Callithrix jacchus: one gene and its partner. The protein of the gene in region 1 purifies or fractionates together with the protein of each later gene. This does not show direct contact. Links are inferred from orthologs where the notes say so. Each region holds a gene or a part of one and is shown in the gene's direction. Other genes may lie near its edges.

Region 1 (3,352 bases):
TGTAATCCCAGCTCCTCGGGAGGCTGGGGCAGAAGAATTGCTTGAACTGGGAGGGGTGGAGGTTGCAGGGAGCCAAGATTTTGCCACCGCACTCCAGCCTGGGCGACAGAGCGAGACTCCTTCTCAAAAAAAAAGAGAAGGAACAGGGAAACTTCTGAGACAGGCTGGGGGAGGCATCACGTAGCTGGGATTGCTGCCCCATAAAACAGAATGATATGTGTCACTGCCACCTACCTTCCTCAGTCCTCTCCCTCCCCAGGTTGCTAGCGTCCCCCCTGGGGGATCAAACTGGACTGCTTCCCAGCCTCAGACAAGAGGGCAGTCTGAGTCAGGCAGGAAAGTGGGACAGCTGGGGAGCTGGACCCCACCCTCTGGAAGCCCCGCTGGTACCTGATGGCATATGGCTTGGAGAGGGCAGGTGACCTGGCATGGAGGGCCAGAGGGTAAGTCCTCAAACAAGTGGCAACAGGCCACCAACTTGAAAGGGAAAATTGTGTAGTGATGGGAAATGTGTTCAACAAACCTACTGGGTGACTAATTACAAAGGCTGGGCTGGAGCGTCAGAGGCTGCTTGTTAAACACTTTATTAAGTGGCACTCCGAAAGCTGCCACCTGTGCATTCTGGGAGCTCAGAGGGGACCCATCTGGGGGATGGAACTGTCTTCAGGTAGACTGAGGAAGCAGCCTGGATCTCATTTCCAAACACAGCCTGGAGCTCATAGGTCAGAGGCCTCATGGGAGAAAATCTAAAGGAGGTAGGGTGCAGAAAAGAGTTTCAGGGAATTGGTGGCTATGTGACTTTGAGCAAATCTCACCCCTCTCTGAAACTTAGTGTACCCATCTCTATGGTCCTGTGTATGTCACAGAGACATGGAGGGGATTAAAGTTGATCATGAATATAAAAGTGCTTGAGAAACTGTATAGCCCTACCTATACATGAATTATTCTCCCCTGAACCAAGCGGGGGAAGTTACCTCTCCGGATTAGGAACCCCATCCTCCTGAACCTTTATGAGCTCTATCAAGGCTGAAGCAGCCAGGGGCTAAAGCCATCCTTAGCCCCTGGAAGGGCACTGTGAAAGAGGATCTGATATGAGAAGCCAGGCAGCTTCCTGATGTGGGCAGTCATGTAATGCCAGTCCTGAACAAGAGGGGGCAGCGTGGAGCCCAGAAAGGCACCTGTGCAGGTGGGGCCAACGCCCAGATTTCTCCTGCTGACTGTCCTGATGACTCACTCCCACATCCCAACCCTTTTACCTTTCATGCAGAGCCGGAAAGGGTGTGGGGAGGAGAGGAGAGGGAGGCAGGTCTTGGGCCCTGGTCCTGCCCCCTGCTCCTCCCCACCCTTCTCAGGGCCTGGCCACCCAGCCAAAAGGCAGGCCGAAAGCAGGAGAGGCACAGAGTCCGGGATTGGTCCCAGGCAGCAGTTACCCGCCGCCCTCCTGTCTGTTCCCAGAGCCATGGAGAGAGCCAGTCTGATCCAGAAGGCCAAGCTGGCAGAGCAGGCCGAACGCTATGAGGACATGGCAGCCTTCATGAAGGGCGCCGTGGAGAAGGGCGAGGAGCTCTCCTGCGAAGAGCGAAACCTGCTCTCTGTGGCCTACAAGAACGTGGTGGGTGGCCAGAGGGCTGCCTGGAGGGTCCTGTCCAGCATTGAGCAGAAAAGCAATGAGGAGGGCTCGGAGGAGAAGGGCCCCGAGGTGCATGAGTACCGAGAGAAGGTGGAGACTGAGCTCCGGGGCGTGTGCGACACTGTGCTGGGCCTGCTGGACAGACACCTCATCCAGGAGTCTGGGGACGCCGAGAGCCGGGTCTTCTACCTGAAGATGAAGGGCGACTACTACCGCTACCTGGCTGAGGTGGCCACCGGTGACGACAAGAAGCGCATCATTGACTCGGCCCGGTCAGCCTACCAGGAGGCCATGGACATCAGCAAGAAGGAGATGCCGCCCACCAACCCCATCCGCCTGGGCCTGGCCCTGAACTTTTCCGTCTTCCACTACGAGATCGCCAACAGCCCCGAGGAGGCCATCTCGCTGGCCAAGACCACCTTCGACGAGGCCATGGCTGATCTGCACACCCTCAGCGAGGACTCCTACAAAGACAGCACCCTCATCATGCAGCTGCTGCGAGACAACCTGACCCTGTGGACGGCTGACAACGCCGGGGAAGAGGGGGGCGAGGCGCCCCAGGAGCCCCAGAGCTGAGTGTTGCCCGCCACCAGCCGGCCCTGCCCTGCCCCCTCCAGTACCCCACCCTGCCAAGAGGACTAGTATGGGGTGAGAGGCCCCACCCTTCTCCCCCAGGCGCTGTTCTTGCTCCAAAAGGTTCCATGGAAAGGGACTGGCAGAGCCGAGGCCACCTGGGGCTGGGGATCCCACTCTTCTCGCAGCTGTTGAGCACACCTAATCACTGGTCATGCCCCACCCCTGCTCTCTGCACCCGCTTCCTGCCGACCCCACGACCAGGCTACTTCTCCCCGATCTTGCCTCCCTCCTGCCCCTGCTGCCTGATGTTAGGAATTGAGGAGTAAGTGTCCCGCCTTGTGCCTGAGAACTGCACAGTGGTAGGGGCTAGAGATTGTGTGTGTGTGTGTGTGTGTGTGTGTGTGTGTGTGCGTGCGCTTGCCAGTGCAAGATCGAGATTGAGGGAAAGCATGTCGGCTGGGTGTGATCATGTTTCCTCTCAATAAAGTTCCCCTGTAACACTCCTCCTGTCTCTTCCAGTTCTTGGCGATGGGCTGGGAGTGGGACTGGAATCTGATTTAGAGACCCTGAACTTGGACCTGAGTTAGGACCCTGACCTCCCTGGGTGCTCAGTGACCCGCACGCAAGACTTTGAGTCCAGGTGAGGCCGGGGTCCAGCTCTGTCCTTCAGGGAGGCCCCACACTGGACGGGCCCGGAAGGGGCCGGTGAACCCACAGGAGGCGCCAAGGCTCCTCTGCCGGGCTGAGGGGAGGTGAGTGGGAGCCGCGAGGTTGACGAGCTCAGGTGGGGCGGGGCAGGAAACAGTGAAGTCTCCGGCGTGAGATCTAAGGACAGCGCCGCAGTAGCGAGCGGCACTGAGCACCCGATTTGCAAGCAGGTCACAGTCTCATCACGGGCTCCGATCTCAGCGGAGGGGAATACCATCTGAGTGAGGCAGAGGTATAGCGCAACCCTAAAACCCCAGATCTCAGGAGAGAGTCGTGTCCCACAGAGTTCGGAGATGCAGACAAAAGGAAACCGACTGGCGGGGAGGAAGGACAACCTGGGTGAGAAGGGCTGCGGGGAGCACTGCCTGCCGAGCTCGCCGCCTCCGCTCTCGGCAACCAGCAACACGCCAGAACCTGCGAACGCCTTGCTCTGTCCCG
Region 2 (3,653 bases), on another chromosome or scaffold:
TTCATCTTCTGTCACTGTGTGCTTTGAGTGGCATCTCCTACTGGTAATGGCACCCTACGTGTGTTCTTCCATGGCTCTGCTCCTAAAAGAGAAGCAGATAAAGTAAGGTCTTACATGCAAATCCCAGTTTATTGTTACCATTCTGAGCTCCACCTTCTCGTATGAGATACTAAAGAACATGGGACGCTGCCCTGACTGCTGTCTTTTTGGATTTTGCTTTGGAATCCCGATCCAGTCTTGCTTTGTAACCGCACAAGTGGGGATACAAAACTTGTTTTTTTCTCCATAGCATGCAAATAGGAAATGCTGGGGGGCATTGTGGATTGTTTGGTCGAAATAGAGAGTTCCTTGTAGATCATTGCCAGAGAAAGAGGAGTGACACAAATGACAAGCACCTTATTCACGATGCCCTGGTCCTGTTGCCTCAGTACCCATGTCCCTGCCCTACCCCACCCCCACTCTCTCTTTCTGATATCCCTTTCCTCTCCACATCCACTTGAACTTCTAGAGACTTTGTGATATCCAGGGAGGAAAATGATAAGTGATTAGACTTCTTTCCCTCTGCCCTCCTCCGACACCCCATTCCCCATGATGTGATTTCAAGCATAGCAAGAGGACTCAAGAAAAATCTTCCATATGAATCAGGACTAGCTTTTTTTAAACAGAAGGAAGAGGTCAGTGCATCTTACCTTTGGCTGTGTGAGAATGCATTTCATCTTTATTCTTTCTGAGATCTTGGTCCCTACTCTGTCCTTTATTCCTTCTTCATCCCTCTTGTTTTCCCTTTCCTTTCTGTAGGGGCGGTTTCTTCTACATATTTGCTGAGTGTTCTGAATGTATTGCTTTCTTGGTCTAAATATATTCATTTTGTCTAGAGTTAACTCAGTGATTCTCATCCTTTTTGAAGTTTTTGGTTTGATTTCATGCTTTCTATCTGATCTCAACACTAGGGGGTGGGTGTGTACATGTAAGATTCTTAAAAATAAATGAATTTAAATTAATCTGGGGACAGACTTAAAATACTGGAGATACTTCATAGCATCACAAAACCAGACATAAGACGAATCTCTGATCTAACTTATAAGGTCAATCCAGCAGCAGTTATTAGTATAACAAATGATAAGCCAGAAAGAGCCTATTCGTGTTCAGGCTTGGATTTGAAACTTGAAATCTTATTTACAGATTGACTTCTGTGATTTGTTCCCAATTTAAATTTGCAACGATAGTTGCAGCGTAAGTTATAACAAACTCCTGAATTGGCAGTTTTGTTTTATTGAAATGCGATTGAGTGTTTTTTCACGTGCCTGTATTTGAAGAGTCTACAGCTGCCTGCTGTCTTGTGGCTAAATGTAATGTCATATAAATGGAACATTTTCCCCTCCTGTAGCTCACTCAACATACTACTTTCCACATTTTTGTTGCTCAGTTTCTAGGATGATTGGCAATTACACTTTTTTTAAAAATCTGGTACAAAAAATGTAAACTGTAAAAATGTTTCTTGCTGTACTCTTCATGAAGTCTCCCTTGCATTTGCTAATGTGGGTGAAGTACCCATGCTTTAGGGGAGTCCACTTGGGATTGTGGCAGAATTAGAGAGACCGGTTTCTTTCCTGATGCTTGGGAAAACTGTGAAGTGGGTGGCGAAAGAAGCATTAGTCAGAAAATTGAAGAAAATTAAGGAAAAGTAGATGTTCATAATGAGGAAAAAAACCCTTGTAGTAGGTATTTATTCTAAACGTAGTTTTGAGAACTAAATGTATTTATCTGTGAACCAAACTGCACTGTGTACGGTTGGGGTGCAGAATGAGTCTTTTGAATCACTGTAAACCCCTGTCCTTCAAGGGGTTGGCATTCAGGTTGGCATTTCAGTTAGCAGAAGGGTTTTCTTCATAGATTGGGAGGCGAGATTTTCATCAGTTCTGATGTTGGTACTTAATCACCTTGATTATACAAAAGCAGGCAGAGCTTTCCATTTCCCAGGCATTTCAGTCATTAAGGTTCTTCTCTGAGTTACAGAAGTGAGCAACGTGGACAGGTCACCCTAGAAGGGTTAGTGGTGGTTGACATTGGTACAGCAAGGGCAGAGCTGGGAAAAGTTAACTAAGCACACATTGGCTTAGGTTGATGCCCTTCAACTCTTGGGGGAGAAAAAAATGCTGGGTTAAACCATATGAAATTGCCAATATTCTATCATCTTTGATCTAAAATACATGGACATTTCATGTGGCCCAAACTCAAAAATAAGATTAGTGGTTTGGGTTTTAAATGTACACATTCAAATATAAAATAATTATGCTACTTTTTTTAGATCAGGCTAAATGAAGAAACAATCCAAGATGTTGTTCAGGCAGCAGACCTGCTACTCCTGACAGACCTTAAAACCCTGTGCTGTGAGTTTTTGGAAGGTTGCATTGCCGCTGAGAACTGCATCGGTATCCGTGACTTTGCACTACATTACTGTCTGCATCACGTTCATTACCTTGCCACAGAATACCTGGAGACTCATTTCCGAGACGTCAGCAGCACAGAAGAATTCTTAGAACTGAGTCCTCAAAAGCTTAAAGAAGTGATTTCTCTTGAGAAGTTAAACGTTGGCAATGAAAGATATGTCTTTGAAGCAGTAATTCGATGGATAGCACATGATACAGAAATAAGAAAGGTACCTGTCATTTATAACACGGTCCGGTTTGCCTTTTTCTTTCTTTTTAATTCAAATTATAATTGTTTTATTTTTCCTTTTCAACACGAAAGACTTATGGAACAGTGATCTGAAAGATACTTGTAAATGATGTTCCTGTATATCATGAAAGCAGTTGGCTTTTCAGACCAGTCTGCAAAACCCCATGCCACACAATATATCAGTGAAAACACTGACCCTTGGAAGGAGCAGAATGTCCTTTGTATGTTGTTTTTAACGGGAAAATGCATTTCAAGCTTAAGCTGGAGATTATAGAACCGCATCATCCCCACCCTTGCTGGCAGCATCCTGACCGACTGCATCACTAGGCTAGCCCCTGCCAGGCCTCAGGTGCCTGCAGCAGGCGAGGGGTGGCACGTGGAACTCTGGCAGAGAGGTGAGGGCCATGGGCCTGAGGAGCTTCGGATGTCATTGACACCTCTTGGGAGAAAGCAGGCAAGCTCTGGAGTTTGTGTGGCAGTGCAGTTTCAAGAGGGAAGGTTCTGGGAGTGACAGCCTGGGAAGAGGGCCTTAGAGAATATCAGCGTCTCAATACAAATTGTGAATACCTTGGAGAAGGGAGCAAAATCACAGACTCCAGGGTTTTGGTGGGTAGAGGGTCTCAATCTGTCTCTCAGTGGCCAAAGTGACACGATTATAGCTCACTGCAGCTCCAACCTTCCTGGCTCAAGTGATCTTCCCACCTCAGCCTCCCGAGTAGCTAGGACCACAGGTGTGTGCCACCATACCTAGCTAATCATTTGATTTTTGTCGAGACAGAGTCTTGCTGTGTTGTCCAGGCTGGTCTCAAACTCCTGGGCTCAAGCAGTCCCCCACTCCAGATTTCCAAAGTGCTGGGATTACAAGCGTGAGCCACTGTGCCCAGCCAGGACTTTATTTTTAAGTCTGATTAATATAAATAAGACACTAGCTTCAATTACTGTTTTCAAAATGAGAAATATATTAGGGTTAGAGA

Evidence for each region. The genes of interacting proteins can lie anywhere in the genome.
Region 2: the proteins of SFN (region 1) and GAN purify together in Homo sapiens (affinity purification with mass spectrometry; 3 studies listed by BioGRID and IntAct, with this or other methods). This does not show direct contact. The link is inferred for Callithrix jacchus from reciprocal best matches to the Homo sapiens genes SFN and GAN.

What each region holds. Positions count from the first base shown.
Region 1 is NC_133508.1:63,511,742-63,515,093, forward strand, and holds SFN (14-3-3 protein sigma), read left to right. Parts: upstream 1-1,396; 5' UTR 1,397-1,459; coding exon 1,460-2,206; 3' UTR 2,207-2,709; downstream 2,710-3,352. UniProt on the Homo sapiens protein: Adapter protein implicated in the regulation of a large spectrum of both general and specialized signaling pathways. Binds to a large number of partners, usually by recognition of a phosphoserine or phosphothreonine motif.
Region 2 is NC_133521.1:38,906,647-38,910,299, forward strand, and holds part of GAN (gigaxonin), read left to right. Parts: intron 1-2,308; coding exon 2,309-2,659; intron 2,660-3,653. UniProt on the Homo sapiens protein: Probable cytoskeletal component that directly or indirectly plays an important role in neurofilament architecture.